2 linked regions of the Elephas maximus indicus genome follow. The protein of the gene in region 1 interacts with the protein of each later gene in a pairwise test. Links are inferred from orthologs where the notes say so. Each region holds a gene or a part of one and is shown in the gene's direction. Other genes may lie near its edges.

What was found.
Region 2: the proteins of RIN1 (region 1) and RRAS2 interact in binary tests that used the Homo sapiens proteins (3 or more experiments, as listed by UniProt). The link is inferred for Elephas maximus indicus from reciprocal best matches to the Homo sapiens genes RIN1 and RRAS2.

The regions. Positions count from the first base shown.
Region 1 is NC_064825.1:129,477,352-129,492,260, reverse strand, and holds the start of RIN1 (ras and Rab interactor 1), read left to right. Parts: upstream 1-8,758; 5' UTR 8,759-8,840; coding exon 8,841-8,926; intron 8,927-9,055; coding exon 9,056-9,236; intron 9,237-9,328; coding exon 9,329-9,443; intron 9,444-9,530; coding exon 9,531-9,603; intron 9,604-9,709; coding exon 9,710-9,801; intron 9,802-9,897; coding exon 9,898-10,635; intron 10,636-10,932; coding exon 10,933-11,238; intron 11,239-11,442; coding exon 11,443-11,574; intron 11,575-11,743; coding exon 11,744-11,895; intron 11,896-12,950; coding exon 12,951-13,430; 3' UTR 13,431-13,676; coding exon of another isoform or gene 13,677-13,724; 3' UTR 13,725-14,909. Other genes in the region: BRMS1 (breast cancer metastasis-suppressor 1), read left to right, coding at 3,388-3,526, 3,635-3,725, 3,915-4,042, 4,187-4,266, 4,348-4,444, 5,020-5,112, 6,452-6,516, 6,873-6,912 and 1 more. UniProt on the Homo sapiens protein: Ras effector protein, which may serve as an inhibitory modulator of neuronal plasticity in aversive memory formation. Can affect Ras signaling at different levels. First, by competing with RAF1 protein for binding to activated Ras.
Region 2 is NC_064825.1:69,694,691-69,710,106, reverse strand, and holds the start of RRAS2 (ras-related protein R-Ras2), read left to right. Parts: upstream 1-8,807; 5' UTR 8,808-9,109; coding exon 9,110-9,217; intron 9,218-15,416. UniProt on the Homo sapiens protein: GTP-binding protein with GTPase activity, involved in the regulation of MAPK signaling pathway and thereby controlling multiple cellular processes. Regulates craniofacial development.

The DNA.
Region 1 (14,909 bases):
TATCCCAGCATGCCTCTCCCCAGCCATCCAATTGTGAGCTCTCCGGCGGGCGCCCCGAGATGACGCACACGGAAGCGCGGCGAGGCCCCGCCTCCCTGAAAAGAGGGACCTGCGCAGCGCTTCCGGGAGCCTGGCGCCGCGGCAGGTACCGGCACCCTTGGGCGCCTCTCAGGGAGACCCGGACTTGAGGCCAGGGAGCCCCCCCCCGCGGTGCGTATCGCCCCCCCCAGCCGCTGGTTGGGTCTCTCTGGGCTAGTCGGGCGCGTCCTGCCCAACCTTCTTCTCGGGGCAGAAGCGGAGACTTAACGGGCTGGACGCGTGCGGGGCCGCGGGGCCGCGGGGCCGAAGCCGGCTGCGGGGGAGCCCGCGATTCTCCCGCCCGCGCCGGTGCAACCGGAGATGAGACGAGGCCGAGCCTCCTGGGCGCGGCGAAAGGGGCCAAAGTGGGGAGGGGCCCGCCTTCCAGGGAGGCTGCCTTCCTGGAGTTCAGAGTCGGAGAAGATAGATGGCATGCCCACCGCACTTCTCAGTTTGCTTTTCCATCCCTTAACCCTTGCCAGCTTTACAACAGTCAGAGCAGGAACGGTTATCCCCGTTTTGCACACACGTAAGAAGAGGAAGTTGTGACTTAATTTACTGCTCAGTAAAATTAGAGTTAGCTGGAGGAGACACACATACACACACCCCCTCTTTTTCTGATCCGGAAAGCCTTCTGGAAGCTGTAGGACTTAGGCTGAGACTTACGGTGAAGAGGAATTGCAGATGGAGGGAACTGCAGGAACTGAAAGAGCCCTGGTGGCGCAGTGAGACTTGGAAGTGGGAAAGATGAGAGGCTGGTTTGGAGACCCGAGAAGTGGAGGAATGAACCTTCATGTCTGCTAAGGTTTTCAGGTTCGAATCCATGGTGAAATCATTGAGGAATGTGACTAAACTCTCCCCTAGGCCAGGCATTTGCCACAACTTGAATAGGTGTCAACCAGAGTTAACAGACACTTTGGGTTTGATTTCACTGCAAGGACCTGAAGCTACCAAGAAGTAAAAACCAACCTTTGACCTGCAAGAGTTTGTTTTGTTTACTTATATTTCCCAGTCCTTTATCAAGGGAGCCAGTACTGGGCTAGTTGACTAAGATGTGTTTGTAGCCCCTGCCCTGGGGAGGCACACAGAGTGGCTGGGGAGACAGAAGGAAAATGAGCAAACAGAAGGGAGATGCAAAGAAGGCTTCGTGGAGGGAGTGGAGTCTACACCAATCTAAAGGGCTGCAGAGCAGTGGCCAGCGAAGCTAGAAGAGGAGCTTAGTAAAGTAGAAGCCCCCAGGAGGCAGTGAGATTCTCTGCTGGAAGGGTGGTTAAATCCCCCCCTTAGGGGCTCTCTTGGCAGGATTAGACACTGTTGTTGGCCACTTCTTCTAAAATGTTCTCTGGCCATAGCTTTGGGGTTTTTCTTTTCTGCCTCTCCCTAATTTCCTTCTCCTTTGCGGGAGTCTCCTCAGCAGCCCTTTGGTGACCCTGGGAGTTTCATCATGGACCCCTTCTCCACACTTTCTGCTTTGGTGCCATACCTTCTCCCATGGCCTGAACAACTCACTCTATGATAGTGACCAGATCTCTGTACGGCCCAGATTTCTCTCTGAGGCTTAGACCCAGGTCCCCAACCCTCCCCCACTCCCTTCTCTCATTTCTGTATCCTTACACATGCTACTCGCTCTACCTGGAATGTTCCCTCCTGTGCTAGTCAGTTCATCCATCTGCTGTGTCTCCCCTGGCAGCCCTCACTGCTGCCCCAAGCTCCTGGTCTTAGAGGCCCCTCCCCTGTGCCCCCAGGCTTAACTCTTCTCGCACCGTGGTAGTGGTCTGCTGCTTTGCCTCTTCTCCCAGGAACGTGTAAGTTCCTGGAGATAAATACTGCCTGCCTGCCCCAGGAATTCCCCTGTACCTGCCATAGTGCCTGGCAGCACCTAGCATATATTAAGTGTTCAATAAATATTCAGTGAGGGAATACAAGGACTGCTTGGCTGTGTCTGATGTTGCTGAGAAATCAATTAAGATAGCCCCCAAAAATACTGGCAGTAGCCACAAGGAGGTTGTCGGTTAACTCAGTGGGATCCGTTTCAGCAGAGAGTGATGGGTGCAGGACCAGATGGGAGCAAATGGAAGGTGAGGAAGCAGGAAGGGCAAGTGTATACAAGGCCTTGAAAGTGGAGCTGTGGCGTGGAAAGCAGTGAAGCGGAATAGGGTGAGGTTTGGTTTGTGTTTTCGCATTTTCTTAATGGTGGAAAACACCTGAGCACATCTACGGTTTCATGGGAAGGAGCCTGCCAAGGAGAGTTGAAGCTACAGAAGAGAGGGGAGTACTGATGATGTGGGGTCCCAGAGGAAGCAGAAAATGAGAAGTGAGAGAAGGGATGGGGGGAGGGAAGGGGACCTGGGTCTAAGCCCCGGTGAAATCGCCCGCACAGAGATCTGGTCACCATCACAGGGCGAGTTGTTCAGGCCATGGAAGAGGGTGCAAACACCAAGGCAGACAGTGTGGAGTGAGAAGGGGTACATGCTGGAACTCCCAGCGTCACCAAAGGGGCTGCTGAGATACAGCCTTTGAGGAGATCTCTGCAAAGGAGAAGGAAATAACTGAGCAGAGCACGAAGACAGAGAAATGTAGAAAGCTATCAGGAAGAGAAGAGGAGTGCACGATGGGCAGAGGAGGAGGGAGAACGTGGTGTCTTTGAGGACTCACCAGTGCATGGTTGGGGCCAAGGAGCTGGGTGGGTGGTTTAGTCCAGTCTGGGAAGGGCCTTGAAAGCCTCCACTAGAAGTTTAAGCCGAGTCCCATAGGCAGGGGGAGCCCTCGGGGGCTTCTGAAAGGGAAAGAGCGCTCACGCAGAGCCCTGCTGGTTCCTGGCCTCTTGAAGAACTTACCTCGTCCTCATACCACTTCCACAGGGAGGTCACAGGCAGAGCAACTGTGGATCCTCAGGGCCACACTTACTGTTGTACCTGCAGTGTTTTCCACCTCCCTATGCCTGCTCTCATAGTGCCATCACAGCCCACCCAGCCTTTTCTGGGGGTGGGACGTTTGGGTGGTAACGCCTCGTGTCGTTGGCCTTTCCCGTTCTGTGAACTGGTGCTTGGCCAGTTCGCCCAGGATTGGGATCGCCAACGGGGTCAGAGGGCATGAGCGTTTCCATGGCTCCCACGCTCCTGGGGGAGATGTGCACCCGGAGCCATTTGCTCCCTTTCACCCAGCATGCGTCAGGGTGGCGAGGACAGTCACCTCCCTGCTGTCCCCTCTAATTGAGGGTCAGGCTGGGCTCGACTCCCTGCTCGGCCACTCAGCTCTGTACCATGGCCAGTGTTGAGTGATGGCTCCACCTGTTCTCCCAGAGCACAAATGCCCGTCCAGCCCCCAAGCAAGGACACAGAAGAGATGGAAGCAGAGGGCGACTCAGCGGCCGAGATGAACGGGGAGGAGGAAGAGAGTGAGGAGGAACGGAGTGGCAGTCAGACAGAGTCTGAGGAGGAGAGCTCCGGTGAGTGTACACACACATGTGCACACACACTTGTACACACCAATGCGCACGCACACGTGGTACCCGCCCGCTCCTCGTCAGAGGCCCTGACTGGCCTCTTGTCCCCAGAGATGGATGATGAGGACTATGAGCGACGTCGCAGCGAGTGCGTCAGTGAGATGCTAGACCTGGAGAAGCAGTTCTCGGAGCTGAAGGAGAAGTGAGCGGGCACACCTAGGGCTGGTCTTCACGGTCCTGGGGGAGGAGGCAGTAGGCTGGGTGTTGGCGGGCGGCTGAGGTCCAGAGTGAGTGAGCACCTGACCAGGGCCTGCCACGGAGCTGGGGCCCTGCGTGTATCTGCCCAAGAGCACAACGGACCGACAAGTTGGGGCTGCCTTTCACCTCCCAGGTTGTTTAGGGAGCGACTGAGCCAGCTGCGGTGGCGGCTGGAGGAAGTGGGAGCTGAGAGAGCCCCCGAGTACACGGAGCCTCTGGGGGGGCTGCAACGGAGCCTCAAGATTCGCATTCAGGTGGCAGGTGTGTGGGCTGTCCCGTGTCCTGGGGTCAGGCCCCAGTCACCCCTTGTGTCCCCCTCCTCATCCCTGCCTGCCCTGTACTCCCAGCCCTCCTCGGATACCTCAACCGCTGCCTTAGGGGGGCCCCCTTCTCCCTCTTCCACAGGCATCTACAAGGGCTTCTGTCTGGACGTGATCAGGAATAAGTATGAGTGTGAGCTGCAGGGAGCCAAGCAGCACCTGGAGGTGAGGGGCTGGGCGCCTGCAGAGGGGTGTGGGCAGGGCCTGAGGGGCCCCACCCGACTGAGCTGCTCCGGCCTCCTTCAGAGCGAGAAGCTGCTGCTGTACGACACCCTGCAGGGGGAGCTGCAGGAGCGGATCCAGAGGCTGGAAGAGGACCGCCAGAGCCTGGACATCAGCTCGGGTGAGGCGCTCTGCCAGTGCCCAGCACTCCTCTGCACGTAGCTGCCCTGACTGCACATGGGTGCAGTCATTGGCCCTGCTCCTTGAGGTCGCCAAGAGGACTGACTGAGAGCAGGCATGGAAGGGCCCAGCCCAGGGCCAGGCATGCAGTGAGGGGTTGGGCAGAGTGGGCCCCATGCCCTCCTGTCCCTGCTCTCTCCCCAGAACGGGAGGTGCGGGCCGGTACGCCCACATATGGTCACCACAGTCCGCTCCGTGTCCACAGCACCTATGTTCCTTCTTCATGTCAGTTGCTCTGCCAAGAGGCTACTGTGGAGTCCTCAGGAGGCAGCAGCTGTTATCATCACCCTGTCATCCCCCCCATCACCCTCCCCCATCTGCTGAACAAAGGAAGCACCTGGGGCTCACAGCAGTGCAGTGCCCTTTCCCATGGTGCACAGCTGTGCAGTCCGGACCTGAACTCAGGCTTCCCAGCTCAGCCCAGAGTTCTTTGCCCCAGGGGAGGGGAGGACAAAGGCAGTGAGGGTGGGGGGCACCCTTGAGGGCTGGCACCCTGACCCTGCCTCTGGGGCACAGAGTGGTGGGATGAGAAACTGCACGCCAGAGGCAGCTCCAGGACCTGGGACTCCCTGCCACCCAGCAAGAGGAAGAAGGCACCGCTTGTCTCCGGTATCCTTCCAGCCACGGGGGCCTGAAGCTGGGGGGGGCAGCCAGGGCCAGCTCCAGACCCGGGGACACGGAGGACAGAGGACCAACACGTTCATGGTCGTTTGGTGTCATGTGATCATGTCCAGGCAAACTCAGCTGTCAGAGATTTATTGTGGCGTCCCAGGTCTCCCGGGGAAACCGTGGTGGGGAAGTGGTTAAGAGCTGTGGCTGCTAACCAAAAGGTTGGCAGTTTGAATCCACCGGGCGCTCTTTGGAAACCCTGTGGGGCAGTTCTACTCTGTCGTATACGGTCGCTATGAGTCAGAATTGAGTTTGGATTTTGGGGTCTCCTGGGCCCTGTGGACTGTAGAGAAAGAGAAACGTCAGTCTTGACTCCCCAGGACTTCCTGAGTGAGTTTGGCCTTTGGTCCCCGTCTGGGTTTCCCACGATGTCTCCCCAGCCACTCACTCATCCCCAAGCTGGGCCCAGGCTTCCCCACCACTGTGCCTTTCCCAGGGTTCCACCCCCTCTTTCTAGCTTTCTCCACCTTCTCATTGCTCATCTCATGTGTTGCCTCCTCCATGAAGCCTCTCCTGTTCTACTCTAGTGGCCATGGCTTTTCTCTCTGCACACCTGTGGCCTCCCTTCTGGGGTGACCACATCCCATATGGTAGAATTGGGCTCTGCCATGAGCCCCTCTAGTCCAGGGCTGGCCGAGTCACCACCCTGGGGATCCCCTTGGTATGTCCCAGCCCCCGAGTTGAATTCCCAGGTTCCACCAGGGCATTCCTGGAAGAACCAGCTCCTCAGGTCACCTTGTGGCGGAGCTGAGGTGCAGGCAGGTAGGAATTGAGTGAGTGGAGGTGAGGGCATGGAGACATCAGTGCAGAGTGCAGGAGGGAGAGTGGATGGTCCTGGGTGGGGGGGGGGCAGAGGATACTTGTCTTCAGGATGGAAGAGGCCGGAGTCTGTTTTGAGATGGGGGAGAGGGCCAGGAGAGGGAACAGGTAATGAAGGCGGGAGCGGGGAGGAGAAGGAGCAAGTCCTGGAGGTGGGGGTGCACCTGGGACAGCAGATCTCGCCTGAGGAGAGGAGGAGAGAGTGAGCCATGGGGCTGCAGGGGTGGGCTGCCCCCTCCCTGTCCTTGGTGAAGTAGGAATGAGCTGCCTTGCTGCCAGCCAGCCAGGCGCTCTCGTAGGGGTGGAGCCTGAGCTCTAACCCAGATTCTCAACCCCTGACCCCACACTGTCCCTGCACCCCCTCCCTGGCCGTTGGGTCGGTCTTGAACTCAGTGGGCTTGGCCTGCCGCATGTCACCTGCCCCTGCCCTGGGCGTCCTGCTTCCTTGACACGGGTGCAGGCCCATACATCGTGTACATGCTTCAGGAGATCGACATCCTGGAGGACTGGACAGCAATCAAAAAGGTGGGCCCTGGGCTGCCCCTTCCCCACCCCAGCTTCCCTACATTCCTGTGGGATATGGGCTGCCTTAGAAGGGAGCACTGTTAGTATGCCGGCCCCTTCCTTGCCCAGGTTTCGATGCAGTTGGGAAGGGAGGGAGGGAGAGGGAAGGTTGGAAGGCAGCAGAGCTGGCTGTCTCTGACAACAGACCCCATCAGAACTTGGCTTACAAAGGTCTTTTGCTGCCGCCTCCACCCTCCTCCACCTGCCTCAGTGCAGCCCCCATCCCCAAATGGGCTGATGTCGGGTGGTGGTTAGGGGGGGCATCTTGCCAGGCTGGGGGCAGACTTTCAGGAAGGCTTTTCTTCTCACCTACCCAGGCTAGAGCAGCTGTGTCCCCTCAGAAGAGAAAATCAGATGGTAAGACCCTCAGATCCTCAGACTGCCTCCCACCCCATCCCCACTGTCACCTCCCTCAGTTCAGCATCCAGGAAAGAGGCCAGAGAGAGGCACGGTCATGTCACAGTCTGAGGCCACGAGAACCACCTAGGCTTTGGAGGTTCTGTGGGAGTTTTGTTAGCAGGAAACAAGGTGGGCGGTGGGGAACTCTGGGTTGATGGAGCTAAGGAATGCTAGAGATTGGAGAGTGCACCCAGCTGGGGCTGGTGGTGGCGGTGGGCAGGGGGGTGCAGCAGCCCTGGTGGGCCTGGAGTACTGGGATGAGAGCTGTGGTGAGGTGACCTGCATGTGGAGGGGCACCCCTCTTCTCACCTCAGTGTTTTTCCCCTTTCTGTGCACCGTCCAGGACCCTGACCTTGCTGTTCCCAGCCAACGGGTCCCTCGGAGCGGCTGGCACCAAACCCAAGACTCACGTTTTCCTGCTGCAGAAAGGTGGACCGACAGGCCCCTCAGATCTGCCTGGCGGCCCGTGGGCTCTACAGGGCTGTGGCCGGGCTCCCCATCCAGCACCACCTGCCTCAGTTCTTTCTCTGCCCTCCACCGGGGTGGCCACCACTGTGGGCCTGGGGCTGACCTGCACAGACCAGACTCTCTCTCTCTCCCTAGCCAGCCCGCCGCCCCCTCCCAAAGACCACCCTCCTCCGTCCTCCCCAACAAAGAAAACATGCCTCATTTAAGCCAAACGGCATCTTCCTGCTGACCTTGGGCCCTGATCAACAGCCCTGAGCTGGGCTCCACTGCCTAGGGATTCAGAGCCATAAATTATATTTGAGGGGCTCTGTCCTGGCAGGAGGTGGAGATGAGAAGCCAGGCTCCCCAGGTTTTCTCAGGGTGTCTCTTCGTGTCTGCCCCCCAGATGGTGGGGACTGGAATTAAACCTTTCCTGGGATTCTGGTGTGGCCTGTGTGTGTCTAATTTACCTGGGGGGAATTGGGGCTTCTGTGGGAGCACCTGAGACAGGCAGACTCTCTTGGTGGCCCTGGGGTATGACACCACCTCTCCCTGGCCCACGGGAGCCCGCCACTCCGACCTGGGGTACAGCCTGGGGACGGGGTGCTCTTCCATACACCGCCCCCCTGGAGGTGGGGGCTGGGCCCTGGGCTACTGGTGCTGCCGGGAGTCTGAGCAACGTGTGGCCGCACAGGCAGAGCATGTGACCTCGGGTGGGGAAGGGGGCAGGGTGCTCTGTGCTTGGAGATGGTCATGTCTGCACCTGCCCCAGTCGCTTGGCAGATTGGCAGGACCTGTGCGGGGGAGGCAGCCGGCAGCAGCGCCATGTGCTGACGACCTCACAGCCAGACTCCCCCCTGTTTAGCGCCGAGTGCTAGAACCACCCCCAGAACCTCAGTTAAGCAAAGGGGCTAGTTGCCATGGAGACACAGCATCCTTTCTCCATGGCAACCTGAAATTCCAAAGCCCAGGTTAGATTCAGACGTGAGTCATGTTACCAGTAGGGGGCACTCTGCCACTAGTCTGACCTCAAGGCCAGGGAAAGATGAGCAACTGACCACAGACTTAAAGGTTCCTCAAGGGCTGTCTGGGGCCCGTAGGGACCTAGACGCGCCTCTTAACCCCTTCCCGCCCAAGTGTGTAGTTTGAGGGAGCCAGCGAGGCTTCGGGAATCTCTGTGAGGAGGTGGCACCCCCACTGCTGGGGCCCTCAGAGTGGCAGTAGCACGGAGGGGGTCCCAGCCCCCTGAGGGTGGGCCCAGAACAGAGGAGGCGGCACGGCCCTGACAGAGTGGACACACAAGAGTTAACGGGCGGGGTGTGCCAGGGCGCACCGCCTTCAGGAAGTGTTACTCACCACCGGGAATGTGAGTGCCTGTGCCTTGGGGGCTGGCTTCCCTTCCTGCGTCCCGGCGGGTGCAGCCGGCTGAGCGCCCAGCCATGGAAGCCCCTGGGGAGCCGGGAGCAGACCCCCTCGGAGCCCCCAGCCCAGCCGGCCGAGCTCCTGCGCACCTGGAGGGAGAAAAGTTAGTGAAGTTGGCAGGGCCGCAGGTGGGTGGAGGGAGGGTGAGGAAGGTCAGCCCAGGCCGAGGGCGGGAGGGTGCAGGCTGGGCGAGCGTCCCACCGCCCGCCCGGCTCAGTGTGCCCGCCCCCAGGCCAGGCCCGGACCCGCTCTACGACGTCCCCGCCGCCAGTGGAGGACAGACGGGCGGACCGCCGAGGCCCGGACGCACAGTGAGCCTTCGGGAGCGCCTGCTGCTCACCCGGCCAGTGTGGCTGCAGCTGCGGGCCAACGCCGCGGCCGCCCTGCACGTGCTGAGGACCGAGCCCCCGGGGGTGAGCGCTGCCCCGCCCCCTGAGGCTGTCCAGCCGAGGGTTGCGGGGGACCGAGCTGGAGGTCCTGTGCTGTCAACTCCTGTCCCCCGCAGACGTTTCTCGTGCGGAAGTCCAACACGCGCCAGTGCCAAGCCCTGTGTGTACGGCTGCCTGAGGCCAGCGGCCCGTCCTTCGTTTCTAGCCACTACATCCTGGAGCGCCCCGGGGGTGAGACGGCTGGCAGGCGGGAAGGGGCTGGGAGCAGCCGGTGGGGCGGTTTCCCGGAGAACACCTCCCTCACTTCCCATCTCTCAGGCGTCTCCTTGGAGGGCTCAGAGCTCGTGTTCCCAGACCTGGTCCATCTCATCTGCGCCTACTGCCATGCCCGGTGAGTCTGCCCACAGGTGCCTGGTGTCGGAGGAGCTCTGCAGGTCTGCCCCTGTAGACACCAGAACCCTTCACTCCTGACTTTCTGCTCCCCTCTCCGGCCCCAGGGACATCCTTCTCTTCCCGCTCCAGCTCCCCAGAGCCATCCACCAGGCAGCCACCCACAAGGAGCTGGAGGCCATTTCCCATCTGGGCATTGGTAAGGGCGCCTCTGCCAGCTATCGCACTTACGGACACACTGAAGCGGTGCGGTCCTCTCCCACGGTTGGGTCTTGACTTGGAGTCTCTTCCGCAGAGTTCTGGAGCTCCACCCTCAATACCAAAGCTCAACAGGGCTTCGGGGACGGCCCGGTGCTACCCCGGCTGAAGCCCCGGTCCCCTCAAGAGCTGGACCAGGGCACTGGCGCTGCCCTGTGCTTCTTCAACCCCCTATTCCCAGGGGACCTGGGCCCCACCAAGCGGGAGAAATTCAAAATGAGCTTCAAAGTGCGCGTGTCCACAGAGACCTCCAGCCCCCTGTCTCCACCAGCTGTACCACCTCCCCCAGTCCCGGTGCTGCCAGGGGCCGCCCCCAGCCAACCAGACAGGCTGCCCCCATGCCAGCTGCTTCGGAGGGAGAGTTCAGTGGGCTACCGTGTGCCGGGGGGCACCGGCCCCAGCCTCCCTCCGCTGCCCTCCCTCCAGGAGGTGGACTGCGGCTCCCCCAGCAGCTCGGAGGAGGAGGCACCGCCGGGGGCCCACGGGAGCCCAGCGACCTCCCCCAGCCTGGGTCGCCGGCGGCCCCTGCTCCGCTCCATGAGTGCTGCCTTCTGCTCGCTGCTGGCGCCCGAGCGACAGGTGGGCCGGGTGGCCACGTCGCTGATGCGGGACCGCCACACAGCAGTGGGCCAGCTGGTGCAAGACCTGCTGACGCAGGTGCGGGCTGGGCCGGAGCCCCGGGAGCTGCAGGGCGTCCGAGAGGCACTGAGCCGGGCCCGGGCCATGCTGAGCGCCGAGCTGGGTCCCGAGAAGCTGCTGCCGCTCGAGAGGCTGGGTGAGGCCCCACTAGAAAGCCCAGTCTCACCCCAGCTCTCCAGAATCCCAGTTCTCCCCTCCTTCGGCTCTCCTCCCCACTATTTCCTCCTGCCTCCTGGTTCTGGTCTCTGCCATACGTGTCCACTTTGCCTTTCCACCGTTCTAGCGAATTCCATCCCCACCTCTCCCCCACTCTCCAGGCTCACCAAGATTCCTCCTCCTTTCCATCCCTCTCCCTCCCTGGTTCTGCCCTTCTCCCCGGATGCTGCCCCATCCTGGTCCTGACTCCCTGACCCCTGGCGTGTCTTCTCTGCAGAGCACGTGCTGGAGAAGTCACTGCACCGCTCCGTGCTCAAGCCTCTTCGGCCCATCTTGGCCGCCCGCCTGCGGCGCAGGCTCTCTGCCGACGGCTCCCTGGGCCGCCTGGCCGAGGGCCTCCGCCTGGCCCGGGCCCAGGGCCCCAGTGCCTTTGGGACCTGCCTGGGCCTACCCTCCCCCGTAGAGGTGGAGCAGGTACGCCAGAAGTTGTTGCAGCTGCTCCGCGCCTACTCACCCAGCGCCCAGGTCAAGCGGCTTCTGCAGGCCTGCAAGCTGCTCTACACGGCCCTGAGGACCCACACGGGTGCGCCCCTTCCTCCTGCCTCACAGATGGGGAAGCTGAGGCCCAGGGAGTAGAGCACCCTCTCCCCAGCCCCTCCACGTTGTAACCATAGGGATCACCCTGAGCTTATAGCAGATGGGGGAGTGTCACTTCTAAGGCTAGCAATGGGCCCTGACTCTGGGACCCCAGAGGAGCCTGAAGCCACCCCCCACCATGTTCCCAAAGGGGAGGACACAGGTGCTGACGAGTTCCTGCCACTGCTGAGCCTGGTCCTGGCCCAATGTGACCTTCCGGACCTGCTGCTTGAGGCCGAGTACATGTCAGAGCTGCTGGAGCCCACCCTGCTCACTGGAGAGGGTAAGGGACTCCTTACCCCCACCCGCCCTCTCCCTTCCCAACACAGGACCTCCCTGTCTGGGTGGGGCCTGAACCTTGGCTTCTACCTGGGCCAGTTAAGCAGGGAAGGAGGAGAAACAGTAGGTTACCCACCCCTAGACTGAGCCACCCTCTTTCCCTTGTGTCCCAGGTGGCTACTACCTGACCAGCCTCTCGGCCAGCCTGGCCCTGCTGAGCAGCCTGGACCGGGCGCATTCCCTCCCCCTCAGCCCCTCCCAGGAGCTGCAGCGCTCCCTCAGCCTCTGGGAGCAGCGCCGCCTGCCGGCCACCCACAGCTTCCAGGTAACAGAGCCCTTCAGATGGCCCCACCTCCCACTGTTCAGGCAGGAAGGGCTCTGGCACCATCCAGGCCTGTCCCCTCCTTTTCTCAAGGGAAAAGGGCTAGTCCAGAGCAAATATGCAGGCTGCCCTTTCTAGAAAGAGGATGTACCACTGTGCTGAGTGCTTCAGGGGCATCATTGCTTGAATCTTCACAGCCTGGCGTGGGGGCAGCCTATCCATCTGGCTGCAGGCAGCCCCTGGCAGCACCAGGATCGGGGGAGGCAGCACGGCCAGTGGAGATAGGGGTCTGGGGTAGGGCCATTATTATCCCCATTTTACAGATGAGAAAACTGAGGCATGACTTGGAGATGGAAAGAGGCACAGATGGCAGGCTCAGGCCCAGGCCCAAAGTCCTCGCCTTCAGCCCCCAGCTGAGGCTCTGCCCTCCTGTCCTGCAGACAGGAGCCCACCAGGCACCAGGCGAGAGCCTGGCCTCTAGCCCATGCTCCCCTCACCCTCCCATCATCTGGGCTCAGGCCTGGGTGTTTTCAGAGCCACATCCCATCCCTGTCCTCTCCATCCGGTCAAGGGAACCTTGTTTAAGAGTCCAGACTCTGTAGCCAGTTCCTGGATTCAAATCCCAGCTCTGCCACTTCCTGGTTGTGAGACCTCGAACAAGGTACATGACTTCTTTGTGTCTCAGATTTCTTCCCTGTAAAATGGGTTAACAATACATACTTCCTGGGTCTGAGTTAACGTAAGCCAAGTACTTAGACTGGTGCCTGGTGCACAGTGAGGCCATCTAAGTGTCCCCTGTCATCGTTAGGCTTGAAAGATACCCCCAGGGGCTGTCCTTCCAGCCTGCAGCCCTGTGACCCACTGGCCCAACCACGTCTCCCCCTTCCTCAGAGCCCCCCTTGGCACTCATCGGATCCAAAAAGCTTTGACAATCAGTTCTCCGCCTAGGTTCTACCCATCCCACCCCTGCCCTTGCAGAGCCTAACCTGGGACCTTTAGAGCCAGGTATCTTACACCAGACAGGCTTGAGGACTTGTTTTGCTTCTCCTCCTGCACAGCACCTCCTCCGAGTAGCCTATCAGGACCCCAGTAGTGGCTGTACCTCCAAGACCCTGGCAGTACCGCCAGGGGCCTCCATTGCCACCCTCAGCCAGCTCTGTGCCACCAAGTTCCGAGTGACCCAGCCCGACACTTTTGGCCTCTTCCTATACAAGGATCAGGGCTACCACCGCCTGCCTCCTGGAGCCCTGGCTCACGGGCTTCCCACAACCATCTACCTTGTCTACCGCCAGGCAGAGCAGCCTGAGGCCCCACCTGGGGCTGCAACAGAGAAGGAGGGCAGGGGGCCGCTAGAGGCAGGGAGCAGGGAGGAGGAGGAAGGAGCCCAAGGAGATGGAGATACTGGGGTCAAAGCTAGCCCTGGGGACAGATGGCAAGAGACCGAGGTAGCTGTTGAGGGAGGGGAGGGTCAGGCCAGGGGAAGCCCTGATGGGTCAGAGGGGCCAGAGGCTGAGGGAAGCCAGAAGGCGGAGGAGTAGCTGGGAGTGACCAGAGATGCACATAGGGTGGGGGACTTTGAGCAGCTGGGAGGGCCTTTCAGAGCCTCAGTGCTCCCAGCCAGGGCTACAGCCTCCTCGGCCACCCCACACTGGCTCCTCCCATGTCTGCCACCACCTAGTGTTACCTCTGTGATCCTACCTGCTCAGGGACTGGAGTAAAGCTGAGGGTCCTGGGGGGGTCCCAGACCAAGTGCCCAATGCCCCTTGCCTCTTCTTCTACCCTAGCTGGAGGCCGCCTGTGCCCAACCTCTGGCCATGGGGGAGGAGCTCTGACCCAGCTGTCATTGCACCGCCCCTGAGGGCACAGCCCAGGACCAGGCTACTGGCCAAGCAGCCCAGCAGGCTGAAGGCTTCAAGGACTGAAAGGCTTCGACCCGTCCCATGTGTCAGGAGGCTCAGGGAGGCCACAGTGTGGCAGCAAGGGCCCAGGCCCAGGCCTGCCCAGGCCACCTGGCGATAGCCTTCTAAGCCTCAGTGTCCTCACCTGGGAAAGGGGGTGCGCTGGCTGCCCTGCCTGTTTCTGGGAGTCAGAGGGGTGCGATTGCCGCAAAGCTGAGCTTGGACTAGGGAGAAAGGTGAGGAGGAGGCAGGCGTTAGCAACCCCTTCCACTAGTCCTGTTCTCCCCAAAATCCTTTCTCTGCACGCTGCCTCCGACCCCAGGGCTGTCACTGGGTGACACTTGCCCATCAGTCCACGGGAGGTCATCAGTCTCTGGGAGGTCATCCTTCTGGAGATCAGCTTCCCAATCTTTGCCCAAGCTGGGAAGTCTGACACCCCAGGGGGAAGTAACACCCGCCAACAGGGAGACAAGTTTCTGAAGTAGGGGAGAGGGCTTGGAAGCTGTTTTCTTTCCACTTAACTCATTTGATCCTCACGAATGCTTTTTGGGGAGGCAGGGCCTGGCTTATTGGCCCCACCGAGGTTCAGAAAAGAAAGATGACTCCCAAGACGTCACCCAGCAAGCCATTAGGGGTTCCTGTACCCAACCAGGGCCCTCGAGTTCAAGCCATGAGCAAATTAGCCTCAAGGCCACGCAGCCCCAAGGGTGGGGGGCAGAAAAGGTGGCAAATCTGAGCAAAGAATAATATCGACCACGAGGGGGCGCACATAGCCCAGGAAGCTACTAAGAGAGTGACCCTAGGGGGAGGGCAGCCCAGGGGCAGCACATGGTCCAAGGTGGCTGACCCTCAGACCCCACAGGGAGGAACTGTCCCCCTGGTGGGGGGAGGACCCCAGCCAATCTCAGAGGTGATTCCCTCAGGCACTGAGCACAAAGGGACATCAACCCTCATGTCAGATGTGGACGCGCTGGTTTTCAGACAACCCTAATGCAGTTTAGGTGTGGGGGCACCAGCGGCTTTTCCCTCCCCACCTTTACCCTTCCCCCTCCATGCTTCTCGCTGGTAGGGAGTCTTCCCTTCACCCTTTTGTATGTCCTCCTCCCCCCTCCCCCCAGC
Region 2 (15,416 bases), about 60 Mb from region 1:
AGAAGAATGGGGCATCGGGATTGAAGGAAGACTCATTAACAATCTGCATTATGCAGAGGACACAAGCTTGCTAGCTGAAAGGGAAGAGGACTTGAAACACTTACTAATGAAGACCAAAGGCCACAGCCTTCAGTATGGATTACACCTCAACATAAAGAAAACAAAAATCCTCACAACTGGACCAACAAGCCACATCATGATAAACAGAGAAAAGATTGAAGTTGTCAAGGATTTCATTTTACTTGGATCTACAATCAACAGCCATGGAAGCGGCAGTCAAGAAATCAAATGATGGATTGCATTGGTCAAATCTGCTGCAAAGGACCTCTTTAAAGTGTTAAAAAGCAAAGATGTCACCTGGAAGAATAAGGTGCACCTGACCCAAGCCATGGTATTTTCAATTACATCATATGCATGTGAAAGCTGGACAATGAATAAGGAACACTGAAAAAGAATTGATGCCTTTGAATTGCAGCGTTGGCAAAGAATATTGAATATACCACGGACTGCCAAAAGAATGAACAAATATTTCTTGGAAGAAATACAATCAGAACGCTCCTTAGAAGCAAGGATGGTGAGACTGCATCTTACATACTTTGTACATGTTGTCAGGAGTAATCAGTCCCTGGAGAAGGACATCGTGCTTGGTCAAGTACAGGGTCAGTGGAAAAGAGGAAGACTCTCAAAGAGATGGATTGACACGGTGGCTGCCACAATGGGCTCAAGCATAATGATTGTAAGGATGACACAGGACCGGGCAGTGTTTCGTTCTGTGGCACACAACGTTGCTATGAGTCAGAACTGACTCGACAGCACCTAACAACAATAGCAACAAGCTATGAACATTTGTGTACAAGTTTTTGTGTGGATGTACATTTTCATTTCTTTTGGGAATATAGCTAGGGGTAGAATTGTTGGGTCATGTGTCAACTATATGTTTAACATTTTGAGGAACTACCAAGCAATTTTCCAAAGTGGCTGCACCATTTTACATTCCCATCAGCATCGTATTTCTCTGCATCTTCACCAAGACTTGTTTTGCTTATCTTTTTTATTGTAGCAATCCCAGTTGTTGTGAAGTGCTATTTCATTGTGGTTTTGATCCTGCAATGGAATCTATTCCTGATTGGCCTGACTTAGGTCATATATCCATCCTGCAACTAACTACTGTGGCCAGTGGAGGTCAACCCTTAGAGCTGGGGTGAGGTCAGTCATTCCCAAGCTACATCCTTTTCTATGCTCTGAAATACCTTTAGTAGTAGTGGTGTTAACTCTTCTCTGAAAGTTTGATAGAATTCTCCAGTGAAGCCAACAGGGCCAGGGCTTTTTTTGTTGTGAGTTTTTTAATTACGTTTTCAATTTCTTCTTTTGTTATAGGTTTATTTAGTTGTTCTACCTCTGTTTGTGTTTGTTTAGGTAGGTAGTGTGTTTCTAGAAATTTTTCCATTTCCTCTAGGTTTTCAAATTTGTTACAGCATAATTTTTCATAGTACTCTTATGATTCTTTTAATTTCATTTGGGGGTGTTATGATATTACCCATCTCTTTTCTTATTTGGGTTATTTGCCTCTTCTGTTTTTCTTTTGTTAATTTGGCCAATGGTTTATCGATTTTGTTGATCTTTTCAAAGAAATAACTTTTGGTCTTGTTAACTCTTTCAATTGTTCTTCTGTTCTCTATTTCATTTAATTCTGTTCTAATTTTTATTATTTGCTTTCTTCTAGTGGCCAAGGGCTTCTTTTGCTGCTCTCTTTCTATTTCTTTGAGTTGTAGGGTTAATGTTTTGATTTTGTCCCTGTCTTCTTTTTGGATGTGTGCATTTATTGCTATAAATTGACCCCTGAGCACTGCTTTTGCTATGTCCTAAAGGTTCTGGTAGGAAGTGTTTTCATTCTCATTTGATTCTATGAATTTCTTTATTCTGTCCATGATTTCTTCTATAACCCAGTAGTTTTTGAGCAAGGTGTTATTCAGTTTCCATGTGTTCGATTTTTTCCCTTGCTTCTTCTGTCATTGATTTCTACTTTTATGGCTTTATAGTCAGAAATGATGCTTTGTAATATTTCCATGTTTTGGATGCTGTTAAGGCTTGCTTTATGACCTAATATGTGGTCTATTCTGGAGAATGTTCCAGGCGCGTTGGAAAAGAAAGTATACTTGGCTGCCGTTGAGTGGAATGTTCTCTATATGCCTGTGAGGTCAGGTTGGTTGATTGTGGCACTTAGATCTTCCGTGGTCTTTATTGAGCTTCCTTTTGGATATTCTGTCCTTCACCAAAAGTGTTGTGTTGAAGTCTCCTACTATTATTGTGGAGCTGTCTATCTCTCTTTTCAATGCTGTTAGAATTTGGTTTATGTATTTTGGAGCCCTGTAATTGGGTGTATAAATATTTATTATGGTTATGTCCTCCTGGTATATTCAACCTTTAATTGTTATATAGTGTCCTTCCTTATCTTTTGTGGTATATTTTACTTAAAAGTCTATTTTGTCAGAAATTAATATTGCCACTCCTCCTTTTTGATTTTTGTTTGTTTGATATATATTTTTCCATCCTTTACATTTTAGTTTGTTTGTGTCTTTAAGTGTAAGGTGTGTCTCTTATAGGCAGCATATAGATAGATCGTGTTTTTTATCCATTCTGCCACTCTCTGTCTCTTTATTGGTGCATTTAGTTCATTTATATTCAATGTAATTATTGATAGGTATGAGTTTAGTGCTGTCATTTTGATGTCTTTTTTTGTGTGTGTTATTGACAGTTTCTTTTTTCCACTTAATTTTCTGTGCTGAATAGTTTTTCTTCATATATTGTCTTTTCCTCTTTTTCATTGTTGTTGCTTTTGTATTTGATGAGTCTTTATGTTTTTGTTGTTTCTTTATTTTGATGTGTAGGATTGTTAGTTTCCCTTTCATTACCTTAATATTTACCCCTATTCTAAGTTTAAAGCAAACTTTTATGTCTTTATATTGCCTTGACTTCCTCTCCATATGAAAGATACATGACTACATTTTTTAGTCCCTCTTTTTTGTTTTAATGTTGTCATCTTTTACATAATGATGTCTCTGTTTTCCGGTTTTGAACATTTTAGCTTTGATTTATTTTTGTGATTTCCCTGTCTGGGTTGATATCTGGTTGCTCTGTTCTGTGTTCTAGTTTTGGGTTGTTATCTGATGTTATTCATTTTATAACCAGAGGATTCCCTTTAGTATTTCTTGTAATTTTGGTTTGGTTTTTGCAAATTCTCCAAACTTCTGTTTATCTGGAAATATCCTAATTTTTCCTTCATATTTGAGAGACAGTTTTGCTGGATATATAATTCTTGGCTGGCAATTTTTTCCTTCAGAGCTTTATATTTCATCCCATTGCCTTCTTGCCTGCATAGTTTCTGCTGAGTAGTGTGAGCTTAGTTTTATTGACTCTCCTTTGTAGATGACTTTTCGTTTATCGTTAGCCACACTTTAAATTTTCCCTTTATCTTTGGTTTTGGCAAGTTTGATTATAAATTGTCTTGGTGACTTTCTCTTGGGATCTACCCTGTGTGGGGGTCAATGAGCATCTTGGATGGATATCTTCTCATTTTTTATGATATCAGGGAAGTTTTCCGCCAACAGATTTTAACAATTCTCTCTGTATTATCTGTTATCCTCCCCTGTTCTTGTACTCCAATCTCTCATAGGTTATTTCTTTTTGATAGAGTCCCACATAATTCTTAAGGTTTCTTCATTTTAAAATTCTTGTATTTGATTTTTCCTTAAATATGTTGGTGTCAAGTGCTTTATCTTCAATCTCACTGATTCTGATTTCAATTTCCTTAATTCTGCTCCTCCTTCTACTGAGTTGTCTAATTCTGAAATTTTATTGTTAACCTTCTGAATTTGTTTGCTGTCTCTCTATGAATTCTTGAAGCCTATTCAATTTGTCATTATGCTGTTCTCTAGTCTTTTTAAGTTCCTCTAATGCTATGTCTGTGCATTCCCTGGCTTGTTCTGCCTTTTGCCTGATCTCCTTCCTGATCTCTTGAAGAGTTCTGTATATCAATCTTTTGTATTCTACCTCTGGTAGTTCCAGGAATTTCTCTTCATCTGGAAGATTTCTTGAGCCATCAATGAGTTATTGTATTTATTTATTTTAGGTTTGTTTACTATGTCCTAGCTTCTTGTTTTGATATGCCCAAATTGGCTGCTCACATGAGCTAGTTTGATTATTGGCACATTTGAAGCTCTAACATCCTGTCACTAGGTGGTTAGAGTTGTTACTAGGTGTTTTTTTTTTTTTTTATGAGCTCAGGAGTCCATTCACTTTTCTTGTATGGATTCAGCTCAGGTATCCAGGTAGTCGGTCACCATGTGTGTGGTGCAGGATCTCACCTACAGTCTTAGACAAGCAGAGGTGATTGGTGTAGGCACAGAAGAGTGTCTTGTGCTGCAGTAGAGAGTCATGTGTTGAGCAAGGCAGAGGACCGACAACCACCCCTGAATGTCTGTGTGGAAAGCATGTCCCTGTTCCCTAGAGTGTGTAAGGTGGGTGGGTTTTGCAGCTGGACTATGAGCACCCAATGCTGTTGACTGTCAGGACTGGGAGGCATCACTTATCCTTGGACCCCTGTCGAGGGTGGCTAGGTGGCATGGGTGAAGCCACTGGTCCTCAGGCTCCTGATGGGGGTAGGTGAGGACCCTGCTTAATAGGCAGAGTGGTGTCAAATGTCACTAACCTCCGTCTTCACCACATAGCTGAAACACTTGAAGTTAGACTTCAGGTATATACCCTGTTGTACTGTGCGAATGAGGGCCTAGGCTGTTGAAACGGGCCCACACATGTCTATGCAGGGGTAAAAAGCATTCAAAGTCTGTGCACTGCTTATGTCTGTACCTAGGCAAAGGAGCTGTTTCTGCCCTGAGTTCCCAGCTTAGGGGAGCAGCAGATTATTTTTCCCCATGTTTGTTAATTTTTTCCTCCTCCAAGGCTGGAAAGATGGCTCAGGGCACATGACAGGTCCTACTTCCAGCCCAGGGAAAGCGCTATCACTGAAGCCAGTGAAGAGTAAGAAGGAAAGGAAACCTCAGTGAAGACCCAGGCAGAGAAGCAGTTCAGCAAACAGGTTTCTCCTTTACTCTGAAAACTCCAGTCATATGGCACATATGGGCCATCCGTTGTTATTGTTGTTAGTAGCCATCAAATTTATTCCAACTCCTGGCAACTCCATGTGTACAGAATAGTACTGTTCCACAGGGTTTTCAAGGCTGTGATCTTTCAGAAGCAGAGAGCCAGGTCTTCTGAGGCGCCTCTGAGTGGGTTTGAACCACCAACCTTTCAGCTAATAACCTAGTTCTTAATCTTTTGCACCACTCAGGGACTATGGGCTCACCAGCTTGTACTATTTATCACTGCCTCCTCCTCTTTTTCTTTTACTAGCCCTGGTTAGTGCAGTGGTTAAGAGCTTGGCTGCTAACCAAAGGGTTGGCAGTTCGAATCCACCAGCCACTCTTTGGAAACCCTACGGGACAATCCTACTTTGTCCTATAGGGTCGCTGTGAGTTTGAATAGACTCCATGGCAACAGGTTTGGTTTGGTTTTTTGTTCGTCAGGTTATCATGAAGTTAAGAAGCCCCTGAGCATTCCTCCGTCAGATGCAGAATAACAGAAAACAAAGGAATTCATTCCAATTGTTTTAGCACTGATACTTGATTTCCCCCAGCCCAAATGGTTGTGGCTTGTATAGTTATGTATTTTTGTTCAGGAATAACTTTCTTTTGGATATTCTTAGAATTTGATAATGTTTTCTGGTTTCTGTGTCTTTTTGAAAGGGGAGAAAGATTTGGGTTGCACTTTAGACGAGAAGGGGCCTGAGCAGAATTCTTTAGCCATCTTGGATGTAAAAGATTATAGGAGATTTCAGGGCTACGCATTCACTGAAAGGCGTCTGTGGGAAGCATGTCTGGCCCGTTCACAGTCCTTCCTCGTCATGGGCTTCCTTTCTTTTCTCTCTCATTTTTCTCCTCCCTCTTTTTGCATTGATGATATGACATTGAAGGCTGTTTTAGCTACTACTGCTGCATAACAATATCCAAAACAGTTGCTTAACCAACCTATTAAAAGAAGCTGAAGAGATTTGACACCTAAATGCAAGGCCCGACTCTAGACTGGATCCTGTACTGAAGGGGAAAATGCTCTAAAATATATTATCAGGTCAACTGACAAAATTGGAATACAAATAGTAAATTAGATAAAAATATGCCTATCAATGTTAAATTGACTGAAGTTGATAAGTGTACTGTAGATACGGGGGAGAGTATCCCTGTTCTTAGGAAATGCACACTGAAGTATTTAGGGGTAAAGGATCATGTTGTATGTAACTTACAGTTGAATAGCTCATTATAAATTATATTTATATACATATAAAATACATGAAACCCTGGTGGCATAATGGTTAAGAGCTATGGCTGCTAACCAAAACACTGGCAGTTTGAATCCACTATGTGCTCCTTGGAAAGGGAGTTCTACTCTGTCCTATAGGGTCAGTGTGAGTCAGAATCGACACGAAGACGATAGGTTTTTTTGGGGGTTGTTTTATATATATGTATATATAAACGAACCATTTTGTACCATATTACTAGAAGCTGAAGAGATTTGACAACTAAATGCAATGCCTGACCCTAGACTGGATTCTATATATCTATATCTATATATCTTATATATATATACCTAGAGAGAGAGACAGAGGAGAGAATGATAAAGCAAATGGGGTAAAATGTTCACAATGTGCGAAAAATTGGATAAAGTGTATATGGGTATTCTTTATACTTTATACATTGAAATTATTTCTAAAATTTTTAAAAATAACCGTTTTACTATTTTATTTTGCTCGTTATTCGGTGGGTCAGGAATCAAGAAGTGTTCAGCTGGCAGTTCTTGCTTGGGGCCTCTCATACAGTTACAGTCTCATGCCTGCTGGGGCTGCAGTCATCCAAGGGCTCAGCTGGGCTGGGTGTCCAAGATGGCTCAGTCACACTGCTGGTAGTTGATAGTAGTCGTCTGCTGAGACCTCATCTAGACTTTCCATTGGCATACCTACATGTGGCTCTCCAGCATGGCAGTCTCAGGGTAGTCAAACTGCCTTTTATTTTGTTTCTCCCAGCAACTATCCTTAGGGAACATGTGGAAGTTGCATGATGTCTTCTGACTTAGCCTCCAAAGTTATGTAGCATCTCTTCTGCTGCACTAGCCTGGTGATGAGTGAGTCACTAAAATCACTATGGTATCCAATATCTTGCATTCATGTCTTAAAACCACCATAAATGCTTACTATATGTCAAGGATGTTTTATATGCTTTACATGCAGTAACTCATTTCATTCTTATTAAAAACTCCATAAGGTAGGTAGTCTTATTACTCTTACTTTAATGAAGAGGAAACTCAGGCAGAAAGGCAACTTCCCACCATCACACTCCATTAGTTGTATTTGAATCCATTGAATCTGGCCCCTGAGCCCATGCCTTTAACTACTATCCTATGCCACCTCTACCTAGAGCTGAGTCCTGTTACATTTGGTTAAACTGTCATGTACATTGTTGTTGTTGTTAGGTTCTGTGGCATCAATTCAGACTCATAGTGACCCTTTGTACAATAGAGTGAAACACTGCCAGGTTCTGCACCATCCTCAAAATTGTTCCTATATTTGAGCTCATTGTTGTTGTCACTGTGTCAATCTAGCTCACGAGGGTTTTCTTCTTTTTCATTGACCCTGAAGCATAATGTCCTTCTCCAGGGACTGGTCCCTCCTGGTGACATGTCCAGAGTATCTGTGCGGTCATATACATAATCATTTTTTCATTCATGATTACGATCATGCAATCTCCCCTAACACATTGAAACCATGTGGCACAATGGTGTTTCTTTGCATATGCTGTTTCTTCTCCCTGGAATACTTTTCTTCCAATTATTCACCTATTTATATCATTTATCTTCAGGTCTTTTAGAGGTCTTCTCTGATCATCCAACTCCAGGTTGAGAACATCTACTACGGGCACACATGCAATGTGTGCTTATGAAGTTATAACTTTTGTCATTATACTTTGTAATTTGCCTGTTGTCCCGACTATGCCCACCACTGGACTCTAAGTTACCCGAGGTCAGAGACATTATTCTGTTCACTAATACATTTCTAGCATTGAGCACAGTGCCTGGTATGCGTAGTATGTTCAGTAAGTTCAAACCCATCTCTCACACTCACACTCACTCTTCATATACAGTTACCACATATTTCTCGCACATAAATACAGTCCCTAAGACAGTCTCCTGACACATACAATATCCATCACATTCACTCTTGTCCACACATGCTTATGACTTATTCCTCATTCCATGCTTATTCCTTATTCTACTGTCACATTCCTCACACACACAATCACTGTAACACAGCTCTAATTCTCAATCACTGTCACGTACGGTTTTTTCACACAACCATGGTCACCGTCTGTACTCTTTAAACACGACAGTTACTCTCCTACAAGTTAAGATGACAACAGCTCTATTTCTCACCCATACGCCATCACATACTGTACTTTTTATCTGCACAATCCCTGACATATACCATTATGGCCACACATTGTTTTACTGTCTTCTTCCCGCAGCCATTCTTACCCGCACCCACGCTCTTACGTACATACAGCCCAGGGATAAAAGAGGCACATCCGTGGGGGTCAGAAGCCTCGTCAACTCCCAAATCTCAGCCTCAGGCCACTGCGGCCCCGCCCCGGCCCCGCCCCCTCATGCATATGCAGCACCTCAGCATATCAGCACGGCCCCCAGACGGCCATTTGTAGCGGCGCTGGAGGCTGCGTTCGGCAGGCGCTGAGAAGACGAGTAGAGAAGCGCGCCCCTCGCCGCTGCCTCCTCTGGCCTCTGTGGACGCCCCGCTTCTCCGCGTCTCAGGCGGAACCGGGCCAGCCCCGGGTGCCGAGCTGCCGTGCGGACCGACCCTCCCAGCAGTTCCCGGCGCCGGGGACCCCCGCCCGGCCGCTCGCTCGCAGCCCGCCGGCCGCACACGTCCCCGGAGCCGGGCCTAAGGCGAACGGCGGCTTGGTGCGGCCGGGCAGGGCTCGGCGGCGTCCCCATGGCTGCGGCCAGCTGGCGGGACGGCTCCGGCCAGGAGAAGTACCGGCTCGTCGTGGTCGGCGGGGGCGGCGTGGGCAAGTCGGCGCTCACCATCCAGTTTATCCAGGTGCCTGAAGCGGGCCTGCCGGGGGCGCCGGGGCGGCGGCGGGCGGGGGCTCGCGCTACCTGTGGCGGGGCGGACGCCGCAACACCGCCCCGGAGGCGCCGCGTGGGGGCCGGGGCCGGGCCGGGGGCGGGCGCAGGGCCGGCTCTGCCCTTCTGCCCTGCGGCCGCGGCGCCGTGCTCCTGCCCGCCCGGCGGGCGACGGGGTCGACGTTCCGGGAGTCGGGCTTCTCAGGAATGTGGCCGGGAGGGCGGAGCTGGCCGGCTGGGAAGCGCCGATCCACCTTATCGCTCCGGCGCGGGCCGGAGCCCTCCGGTAGAGGCAGCGCCGCTGAGCCCGGCTTCCTGCTCCGAGCGCCCTCGCGTTGGCCGTGAGGCTGGAACCCAGCGCTGGTTTTCCAGCCGCTACCGGGCTGCCTCCGGCGCCGTGCTTGGGATCGCGGTGGCAACTTGGCCACCGCTCTGCGTGGTCTCTGAGTTTCACCGCGCTAGCTGCCCCGGAGCTGCCCAGTTCAAACAGTGTGTTTTTCTTTGTGTGTGTGTGCTTTTAAGTTATCTCTTAGGTAATATGTTCGGGGGGTAGTGTATGATAATACCCCAGGGAAATGGTGGCTTCGAGGAAGTTAAAAATGTTCTCCGATAGGCGTGAGACCACTTCCTAGGAATGCCTGATGCCTTCCTGCTTCTCCCTGTGCCAAGGTGAAGTTTGGGCTGGGTCAGGTTAAGGGGTGACTGAGTCGTGCATTCTGTGCTCTAACCATCCTTTCCCCCACCCCCAACCCTCTCTTGCTACAGGCCAGAAGTCAAAGGTTGTGGTAAAGAAAACCAACCAACCAACCCGTTGCTGTTGAGTCGATTGCTTGCGTCTCATAGCGACCCTATAGGACAGGGTAGAGCTGCCCCATAGAGTTTCCAAGGAGCGCCTGATGGATTCCAGCTGCCAACCTTTTGGTTAGCAGCCATAGCTCTTAACCACTATGCCACCAGGGTTTCTGTGGTAAAAAAAAAAAAGAAAAGGGAGGTGGAATTCTCCTTTCTTAGAATTTCATCTAGGTTAAAAAGGTTAAGTGATCTCTTTGGGATTTTTAAAAAGAGTAACCCAGGTATCTTTCTGCTTTTGTCCATCTAGTAGGTGTGGCATATTCTGATAGAGAACGAAGGTAGCCAGTTAAAACCGGTGAGAAATATATTCTTACTGTTAAGAGGCTTTGGTGAAATACTTATTTTATTTCTGGTTTCTGCTTCACCCCTTTGTCATCAGTTGGGGGTACTTGAATATCTTATTTCATTTCACGTTTATACCAGTGCCCAGTGCCGTCGAGTCGATTCCGACTCCTAGCGACGTTTATAGTGACGTTAAAATACAGTGTACTGTAGCATAAATGACTGTTAACCTTTCACATTGACTAAAAGAGCAATGATTTAAAAAAATAAATAAAAATTGCTGCTGTAATATTCCAAGGGATTAAAAACTGCTGCTTAAAACCTTTGTATCCAGGAAAAGAGAATGTTTATGCAACGAGCATTTACGGTAGGCTCATTAGTGGGTTAAAAAAAATCACACTAAGAGGCGAGATTGGTTTAAGTTGAGTAGGCTGTGGAATCAGGGATGCTGTCATGTTTCCCTAGGACCCAAAGAGGCTTTAAGTAACAGATAGCAAAGCAAAACAATTTATAGCTAACCTTTTCTCTGGAGACTATAGTCTGATGGTTAGCGTTGTGAGGGAGGAGTGGGAGAATGAATAATCCTGGGCTCCAGCATTGATAAATAGGGTTATCTAAAAGATTTGAACCACAAATATTAACTTTTTTGGGGAGGTATTATCTGAATGTATTTAAATATGCAACCTGATTATTTTAATTAAGATATCAGAACTTTCTGTTCTGGAAAATAGTATTAGAAATCACGAAACTAATGGTCATTGCTGTTTTCCTAACGATTTTCTGGAATTTGTTGAGATAATCCCTGCTTTATGAATAGTGCTGTACCTCGGTGCCAAAAAAAAGAAACCCATTGCAGTTGAGTTGATTCCTACTCATTGCGACCGTATAAGAACAGAATAGAACTGCCCGTAGGATTTCCAAGGAGCACCTGGTGAATTTGAACTGCCGACCTTTTGGTTAGCAGCGGTAGCTCTTAACCACTACACCACCAGGGTTTATCTAGGTGCTCTAGATGGTATAAAAGAAGTAAAAGGGACATGTATGCCTGATAAGGACATGGATATATACATAGGGAAGGAGAGTGAACGATTAGTCACAGACTTGAGCTCTGTATTTTGCTCTGTTATTTACTGGCTGTGAGAACGTCACCAAGATATTCAGCCTCTCTGAGCCTTAATTTTCTCATCAGTAAAATGGGTCTGATTATACATTCTTTATAACCCTTTAAATTATGGGAAAGTTCTTAGCATTGTGTCTTGCACATAGTAAGTGCTCAGTTAGTGGTAGCTGTTGTATCAATAGTATATGTATGTAGTACCGTAACACACATAAGCGATGGGAATTCAGAATCAGGGAGAAGTCAGTTTGGGAAGAGTTAATAGGAGTACCATGTATGCTTAGTGGTGAGGAGAGTAGATATGTCATTTGTAAGAATGGGAGAGTCTGGTCTTAGCTTGGAGAGAGGAGGCAGGCTAGGGGTAGGGAGTGTGATAGACAGGCAGCTTGGGGGCCAGTAAAGGTGAGGAACGTGGGCTTTGAAGTTGACACTTTCTGGAGAGGCAGGAGCCAGACCACCTGGATGGAGTCCAGCTCTCCCACTTGCTGCATGTATAATCTTGTTGTTAGGTGCCATGAAGTTGTTTTTGACCCACGGCGACTCTGTGCGACAGAGTAGGACTGCCCCGTAGGGTTTTCTTGGCTGTGATCTTTTACTGGAGCAGATCGTCAGGTTTCTTCTGTGGAGCCGCTGGGTAGGTTTGAACTGCAAACCTTTCTGATAGCAGCTGAGCGCTTAACCATTGCACCACCAGGGCTCCTTAGTGTACACTTAGGCAAATTATTTAACCTCTCTGTACCTCAGGTTTTCCCATCTGTAAACTGAGGAAATACAAAGTACCACATACAGTCATTGTGAAAATAAAATTAGTTAACATATGTCAAGGGCTTAGAACAATGTCTAGTGCATAGTAAGGCTACATACGATGTTGTTGGTCAATCTTAGATGACGGAGCTAAGGTGACTTGTTTATCATCTGTATTTACTAGAACCCACTTCCGTCGAGTAGAGCTACTGTATTTACTAGAGCCACTGTCTTAGTTCTGCTATAATAGAAATGTAATGGCTTTAACAAAGAAAAATTTATTTCTTCACAGTAAAGTAGGCTAAAAGTACAAATTTCGGGTGTCAGCTCCAGGGAAAGGCTTTCTCTCTCTGTCAGCCTTTTTATCAATCTTCTATCAGGTTAGGAGCTTCTCCGCTCAGACCCCGGGTCCAAAGGACGTGCTCAGCTCCCAGCACTGCTCTCTTGGTGGTATGAGGCCCCCTCCTCTGCTCCTTTCCCTTTCCTTTTATCTCTTTAGAGATAAAAGGTGGTACAGGCCACGCCCCAGGGAAACTCCCTTAACATTGGATCAGGGATGTGACCTGGGTAAGGGTGGTGTTACAATCCCACCCTAATCCTCTTTAACCTAAAATTATAATCACAAAATGGAGGACAACCACAGGATACTGGGAATCACAGCCCAGCCAAACTGATAGACACGTGTTTGGGGGAACATAATTCAATCCATGACATTCCACCCTTCGGCCCCCCCCATCACATTCTTGCAACATACAAAACACATTCATCACATCATATCATAGCAAAAGTCTTAACTCTAAGTCCAAAATCCAAAAATTCCACTTCGTCTGTGAAATCTAGCATATGAGTTATCTGCTTCCAAAGGTGCAATGGCAGAACAGGCACAAGCTAGACATTTCCATTACAAATGGGAAAAACTGGAGGAAAAGCAAGGATAATAGGCACCAAGCAAGTCAGCAGAACACATTACATTAGCCCTCAAAATAATCTTCTTCTCTCTGAGACAATTTACACAATGGCCCTGCCCTCCAGATTCTAGGCATTGACCACACTCTCCAGATTCTGAGTGGAGGCTTCTCAGCCCTAGGCTTCAGCTCCGCCTTCAGGCCCACTGGGACAGCAACTCTACTCCCTCAGCTTTAGGTGCACCATTCTCCTAGTCCATCTGGGTGGCACCTTCACCCTTAGAAACACCAGAGGCCATAGTTCCACCCTTTGAAATCCCAGAGGTCCTGGCCATATTTTTTGAGGCTGATTGAGCTCGGATTCTTGAGTTTTTTGTCTCTTCAGCTTCTGCTTCCTGTTTTTTTTGGCCTCTCAGCTCTTTGGGCCTCATGCCCTCATCTGTCCTGCTGGGGCAAATGTTCCAAAGCTCTGTAGCTCCACCGATAAGTGCCCGGAGGCACCCCACTCTGCTAGGAAGCCTCTTGCGCACAGGTACTCAGCTCTCTCCCTTCATGGGCCAGCTCTAGCGCTCTCTGGCAGTGGTCCCTAGTTCTGCTGCTGCCGGTGGTTCTCTGCTGCCGTAGGTCCTCTGCTGCTGCTGGTCCTCTGCCGCTGCTGCTCCTCTATCCATTCACAGTTTCAAACTGCTCCCACATTTTCGTTATCTGTTAGAGCAGCACCCTGCTTTCTTAGTACCAATTTATGTCTTAGTTATCTAGTGCTGCTATAACAGAAATACAAGTAGATGGCTTTAACAAATTTATTTCTTCACAGTAAAGTAGGCTAAAAGTCCAGATTCGGGCCGTTGGCTGCAGGGGAACACTTTCTGTCAGCCTCCTCATTGATCTTCGCCCGGACTGAGTTCTCCACACAGGGACCCTGGGTCCAAAGGACGCACTCTGTTCTTGGCACTGCTCTCTTGCTGGTATAAGGTCCCCCTTTCTCCTCATTTCCCTTTTCTTTTATCTCTTGAGAGATAAAAGGTGGTGCAGGCCACACCCCAAGGAAACTCCCTTTACATTGTATCAGGGATGTGACCTGGGTCAGGGTGGTGTTACAGTTCCACCCTAATACTCTTTAACCTAATATTATAATCACAAAATTGAGGATAACCACACAATACTGGGAATCATGGCTCAGCCAAATTGGTACACACATTTTTTGGGGGGTCATAATTGAATCCATGACAACCACTATTGTCTGACTCCTAGAAAACTGATTTTGCTGTGATTGTCTAACAGTAGTAAGTGCAGGAAGAAGAGGCAGCAGAAGGCTAATCACCTTAGCAAGTGGAAGTTGGTTCTCTTTGTAGGAAATTAAAACCAAGCCAAACCCATTGCCCTCCAGTGTATTCTGACTCGTAGATACCCTGTAGAACAGAGTAGAACTGTTTCATAGGGTTTCTAAGACTGTAATCTTTACTGAAGTTGGCTGCTTTTAAGACTCCTTTAATAACAGAATTTTTGCAGTTTCCGTACGTATTTTTCTATTATGAATCTTGACCTAAAAAATGTAAACAACAAATTTGGGAATGTAGAACTTAAAAACAAGGTTACCTCTCGCACTGACTTTCTTTGACCTTAGATTTAGTTGTTACCTATGCATATTTTTATTTTCCCCTTTTGTGTATTGCAACTTGAGGCTTGAGTTTTTTTTTTTTTTTTTCAGTTCTCTCAGCTGAAGAAATGCTGAGTGTGTTCTTCCCTTTTGGTTTTCTATCTCCAGGTCTTTGCACGTGTCATCATAATACTTTGCCTTCTCTACTTTGCCTTCTCGAGCTGCCCTTTGAAATCTTCTGTTCAGCTCTTTTACTTCATCATTTTTTCCTTTTGCTTTAGCTACTTGACGTTCAAGAGGACGTTTCAGAGTCTCTTCTGCCATCTATTTAGGTCTTTGCTTTCTCTCATGTCTTTAATGATACCTTGCTTTCTTCATATGTGATGTCCTTGCACAACGTGTCTGGTCTTCCGTCATTCGTGTTCAACGCATCAAATCTATTCTTGAGATGGTCTCTAAATTCAGGTGGGATATGATCAAGGCTGTACTTTTGCTCTCATGGACTTGTTCTAATTTTCTTCAGTTTCAGCTTGAACTTGCGTACGAGTAGTTGATGGTCTGATGTGCAGTGGGTCCCTGGCCTTATTCTGACTGATGATATTGAGCTTTTCCATCGTCTCTTTCCACAGATGTAGTCGATTTGATTCCTGTGTACTCCATCTGGTGAGGTCCATGT